Linked DNA regions of Saccharomyces cerevisiae S288C. The protein of the gene in region 1 interacts with the protein of each later gene in a pairwise test. Each region holds a gene or a part of one and is shown in the gene's direction. Other genes may lie near its edges. The genes, in order: SEC65 and SRP14.

The links.
Region 2: the proteins of SEC65 (region 1) and SRP14 interact in binary tests that used the Saccharomyces cerevisiae proteins (3 or more experiments, as listed by UniProt).

What each region holds. Positions count from the first base shown.
Region 1 is NC_001145.3:57,256-60,577, reverse strand, and holds SEC65 (RNA-binding signal recognition particle subunit SEC65), read left to right. Parts: upstream 1-1,890; coding exon 1,891-2,712; downstream 2,713-3,322. Other genes in the region: MDM1 (Mdm1p), read left to right, coding at 1-1,639; orotate phosphoribosyltransferase URA5, read right to left, coding at 3,125-3,322. UniProt on the Saccharomyces cerevisiae protein: Signal-recognition-particle (SRP) assembly has a crucial role in targeting secretory proteins to the rough endoplasmic reticulum (ER) membrane.
Region 2 is NC_001136.10:291,269-294,062, forward strand, and holds SRP14 (RNA-binding signal recognition particle subunit SRP14), read left to right. Parts: upstream 1-1,512; coding exon 1,513-1,953; downstream 1,954-2,794. Other genes in the region: putative dolichyl-phosphate-mannose-protein mannosyltransferase PMT5, read left to right, coding at 1-872; clathrin-mediated endocytosis regulator UBX3, read right to left, coding at 2,124-2,794. UniProt on the Saccharomyces cerevisiae protein: Component of the signal recognition particle (SRP) complex, a ribonucleoprotein complex that mediates the cotranslational targeting of secretory and membrane proteins to the endoplasmic reticulum (ER).

The sequences.
Region 1 (3,322 bases):
CTTTCTGAGTAGAATCGGTGGTGTTAACAATCCAGAACAAAACAAAATAATAAAAGATAATGTGAAGACTGATTTTATGAATCCTGTCAGAATATTCGCAAACCCCGGCATCACAGATGCTTTAGATAATATAGTGAATGGATCGGGATCCAAGCCGCATAAATCAAGAATAAGCTCAAATCCCCGTTATTCTCAGCTCTTTGGTTCAGAAAATGACAACATTTTCAAAGATAAACTCTTCGACGATGAAAACGATAATACCTCAGAAATTTCTGTTGTCGAGGATCAGTTGGATCACCCACGTAATATGGAGAAAGTAAGTGTTTCCAGCGGGAATTCAGGCCTAAATCCTAGCCAATTTTATGGGTCAAACAACTTTAGGGATAATATAGCATCCTTGACTATTTCAATTGATCAGATTGAGAAAGAGCTTGAACTTTTAAGGCATTTGATTTTGAAGGCAGATCTGACCAACAATCAAATGCAGTTGAAAATTTTAAAAAAGTCACAAAGAACCCTATTAAAGGAACTAGAAATGAAGGAACTGTTGAAACAGCAATATATGGTACAAGAAAATGGTAATAGTTTGTTCAGAAAAACTAAGATATACATTAGGTCGTACTTCAGTGAGAATTCTAGTAATGGCCTAAAAGAAATAACTTATTATATCATCAATATCCATCATTTTAACAATGGGCAGGTAAGTTCTTGGGATATGGCAAGGAGATATAATGAATTTTTTGAATTAAATACATATTTGAAAAAGAATTTTAGGGATCTGATGAGGCAGTTGCAAGATTTGTTCCCGTCAAAAGTGAAAATGTCATTGAAATATCATGTTACAAAAACATTGCTTTATGAGGAACGAAAGCAAAAACTTGAAAAGTACTTGCGAGAACTATTATCTATTTCTGAAATATGCGAAGATAACATTTTCAGAAGATTTTTGACAGATCCTACCCCATTCAAACTGAACAAGGAATATATGCATGATGATATTCTGGAGGAGCCACTTCATGAACCTATTGGTAGTAGTAATAGCACAAGTAATAGCAGTTCTGTTGTTGATTTACAAAGCTCTGAAGACGGCGGTGAATTGAATTTCTATGAAGATGAAAGACATTTTTTCACCGATTCTGGCTATCCTTTTTATTCGCAAAATAAATCTTTTGTTAAACAGATATGTGACTTATTTATTTCGCTCTTTGCTTTAAATAAGGCCAACGCGGGTTGGTTAAGAGGAAGGGCTATAATTACCGTTTTACAACAGCTTCTTGGGAGCACTATTGAAAAGTATATAAAGGTCAGCATTCAAAAATTGAGATCAGAGGATCAAGTATTTGAAGCAATAGTTACATTCAAGAATATGCTATGGGGTGATAACGGTCTGTTCGAAAGAAAAAGAAATGAAACGGCAGAGGCAACAAGAAGCGAAGGTGAAAGGTTACGGACGGAACAACTCGCTTTAACCAGTTTGCAAAGACTCTTCGCAGACACTTGTGGTCGTGTAGTTGGTCTAAGAGATTCTCATGAAGCTGCTGGCCGGGTCCATGCCATGCTACAGAATCCGTATTTAAATGCCAGCTTACTGTTGGAAGCTCTTGATGCAATTTTATTGGACATAATATGTAATGACTGAAAATAAAACTTGACTAAGTACCGAACAATCTAAAAAAAAAAGTGTAATTGTCACAATAGCAAATAAATTGGTACACTTCTTCAGCCGCTTTAAAAATTGTGTACTTCTTCTTAAAACAATTGGGAAGTATTTATTTTTCACGCTTTTGTAATCTGAAAAAAAAAAAAATATCAATGATATTCAACAGGCTAGCAACTAACGAAATCAAAAGAAATAAAATAAGCCATAAGCTATAGTATCATAAAGTCAAAATGCCTAGATTAGAAGAGATTGACGATTTCAATGATATCGACGACCTTGATATGGAATTGGCCGAGTTAGATCCATCTTTGAGGACGCCGATCGCTCCCAAGATAACGCCTAAGGTTGTAAGGAGCCAGGACCAAGAGAACCCTGCATTTTTACCTGGCACGAATAACAACAGTAATAGCAACAACAATAGTAGCAACGAAAAAGAGCAGTTGAGTTTTATTAACCCAAAAACTGGTAAGGTTGAACGTTCGGAGGCTATTTCGAAGAAAGATTTAGAAGAAGTCAAAAGATTCCAAGTACTCTATCCATGTTACTTTGACATAAACAGATCACATAAGGAAGGGAGAAGGGTTCCTAAGGAGTTGGCTGTTGAAAATCCTTTGGCTAAAACTATGGCAGATGCTGTCCGTGAATTGGGAATATTATGCATTTTTGAAGGTGAAAAATGTCACCCACAAGATTTTGGTAATCCTGGTAGAATTCGTGTACTTTTCAAAGAAAATGGACAATTAATTGGCGCAGCCACTAAATTCAAAGGTGGAAAGAGGCAATTAATGAAAGCTGTTGGGGAGTATATGAAAAGACATCCAACTACTATTGAATCTTTAAGGGAGATTCCATATGGCCCTGATTTCGACAATATTGAATTCAAAAAGATTCCACGTGTAAAGGGATTCAAAATGAATGAGATTGTTCCGCTGCATAGTCCGTTCTTGATGGGCCACCCAATGACAAAATCTGTTTACGAAACTCCTAAGATTACAGCGGCAGAAAAGTCGTTCAAGCCACCAAAAAATAAGTACAAAGTAGTTAGAAGATGATTGTCTCCTTTACCCATTTATGTATATGTATATGTATATTGAGATTAATATATTAATATATTAATAGATTATAATAGCAGAACTATAAGAATATGATGTTTGTTCAGATCAAGTGCTAAATGACTTGTTGTATCAGCTTTTAAATTTTTACATCAAGACAAATCAATTATTCGTATTATTTCGTCTGTAGTTGAAACAGAGTTCAATAAGCCAAGAGTTTTGAAGCAGCTACAGGCAAGAGGTACCGAAACACAGAAAAAAGTAACAAGAAAACTCTCTCGCTCTATATATATGTGTGTGAATATACGCTATTTATACACATATATAGATGAGCGGCGTGCATGTATCGTAGTAACTAAGATTAATAGTTCTTAAAAGAGATAAATAAATCATTTAATTAAAAAACTGATTTTTAAGCGGAGGCACCGTAGGTTTGAAGGTATTGTTCGATCTTGCTTTTCTCTTCTGCTGTTATTCTGCCTTCCAAATAGGTAATTATGTGAATTAAGGAGACAATGCTCAAGACTGGGATACCGTATTTTTTGCTAACAGTTTGAGTGGCGCTGAGTCCTTCTTTATCGTCAGTACTCACAACTTCCTGTCTATCAAG
Region 2 (2,794 bases), on another chromosome or scaffold:
AGGAACATATTAGGGCTATTGAAACCAAATTTAGGCTGAAGCATTATCTAACTGGTTGTTACTTATTTTCACATCCTGAAAAGCTACCTGAGTGGGGATTCGGGCAGCAGGAAGTTACGTGTGCATACTTTGCAAGGGAAGACTTAACTTCATGGTATATTGAAGAAAACGAAAACGAAATTTCTTTGCCAAATCCAGAGAAGGTTTCTTATAAGAAAATGAGCTTTTGGCAGAAGTTTGTTGCTATCCACAAGTTCATGTTCTACCTTAACAATTATATGGATACTAGTCATGCCTACTCATCTGAACCAAAGACTTGGCCTCTTATGTTGCGTGGTATTGATTTTTGGAATGAAAATGGCAGAGAGGTGTACTTTTTAGGTAACGCTGTTTTGTGGTGGTCTGTCACAGCATTTATTTGCACGTTCATCATTGGAGTGGCTGTTGAGCTTCTTGCTTGGAAATTAGGTGTGAATATTCTACGGGATAAGCACATCATAAATTTCCACTATCAGGTCTTTCAGTACTTATTAGGCTTTGCCGCCCACTATTTCCCTTACTTCTTTGTGGGGCAAAAGTTATTTTTGTACGATTATTTGCCGGCCTATTATTTTGGTATCCTAGCATTTGGTCATGCTTTAGACCTGATTTCAACCTATATTTCTAACAAAAGAAACAATACTGGATATATAGTGGTGGCTATTTTCATGGTTGTATGTTTCTATTTCTTCAGCGAGCATTCTCCACTTATTTATGCTACTGGATGGTCGAGTAACCTGTGTAAGAGGTCCAAGTGGTTAGGAAGCTGGGACTTTTATTGCAATTCACTATTACTATCCGATAGCCACTATGAATTAAACGCTGAATCATGATCCATCCACCCGTATTCAGATTGGACATTCGTTTAGCAAAAGATTTAAAAACTACATTTGAGCTAAACTGCGGGAAAGATCTACGTACATATGGAAAAGAACCAGATGTATATGAAAAAAGAGTTCATAACCGGTCACAATGCAACACTTTCCTATCTTGTTCTTTCGTTGAATTTCACTAAACAACTAACGAATACCAAAAAAATGATCCGTATTAAGTAATGTATATACATATATATTGTCAAATACAACAAGATATTTAATAAACAAAGAATAGATGAATTAGGATTGAACCGGTAAAAGGAAAGCTGTGAACATGGTATTTCTCTTATCGGGCTTTTCAAGATCACCACTGAGTGGCATTTTAAGCACATGAGGAGATGAACGTAGGCAGATCAAAACATTCAGCCGATGATAAAGACTACAACAGCTATTTGATTGTCTTTGCATAATCGCCCTAAATTGGAGGCTTCTACAAAACAACTAATTACATATTCTTACTTCCTCGCCCGTGCAAAAGGATAATATATCTCTCATTTGAAAAAATAGCCATACTTAACGTTAATGTTTAACTTACGGGTTGGCATACCTCTTCTTTAATACAAATCAAAAAACGTAGCTTTCTTACCACCCTAAAACAATGGCAAATACTGGCTGTTTATCACCAGGTGCATTTTTATCAAAGGTTCCAGAATTTTTCCAGACTGCGAATGAAAAACATATAACTGTGCGTCTAACGGCCAAAAGACTCATAGAACACGATCCTGTGGAAGGGAATCTTGAATTTGATTCTACCAACCATCCTGACTATGATGTATCTAAAAAGGCTTCTGAAATTTCAGTTAGCTCAAGATCTGACAGAGAATACCCACTATTAATCAGAATGTCTTATGGCTCGCATGACAAGAAAACAAAATGCTCAACAGTGGTAAAAGCAAGTGAGTTAGATCAATTTTGGCAAGAGTATTCATCTGTATTTAAGGGGGGCATGCAGAATTTGATCAAGAAGAAGAAAAAGAAGAGTAAGAACGGTACCATCAGTAAGACAGGAAAGAAAAACAAGGTAGCGAAGAAAAACTGATGCACGTGACACTTGAGTCAAAAGGCATGTGCGCCTCTTGTTATCTTTGGATGTGTAGATTAAAGGATGGCAACGTAGATATAAAAGATTAATTGCATAAAGTTGTGTAGATATAAATTTAACTAAACTTTAGAATAAACGTTTTGAGATGACTATTTTTGAAATTCCTTTCATTCGTCCAGGCGTTCCATTACAATATTTCCTGATGGATATATGCCGCTAACGTCAGATATTTTGGTAGATAAATCAAGCTCTCTTCTTGGTACCGGCGTGATCAATTTGAAGCTATACTGGTGCTGATAATTAGCAGGTTGGTATACGGGTAAAGTATCGTTTTCTGAGTTCAACATGTCATGCAACTGTAATTCTACGAAGGCATATATCTCCTCCGTTGGTAGAGATGCGTCAAACTTTCTCACTAATCTCTGCCCATTTTCTAGTCTGATCGCAACTTTGCTTGCATCTTTATCAGAAGAGGGTTCGGGTTTTAGTTGGCTTTTTCTCCACAATAGCCATTGGTTTTCTATTCTTTGGTGCTCTCTTTCCATTTGTTCTCTTTGGGTCTGTTCCAATCTTTCTGATTCTCTTTGTTGATCACGTCTTAAGGAATCCTGGTATCTTGAATCCTGTTGTTGTCTTATTAATCTCTGCATTTCAATATTTTGTCTTTGCTGACGCAATTGAATTAATCGAGAATAATTCTTGGAGAATATGGCCTCCAAATCTTGGGCTTTGTAGTTAGAAATAGAACCTTCAACTCTTGCTATTAACTCTATTTTTTTCTCAGCCTTTAAAGAAATTATTCCAAGTAGGGGATATTGCCTAATTTTTAATGCATTGG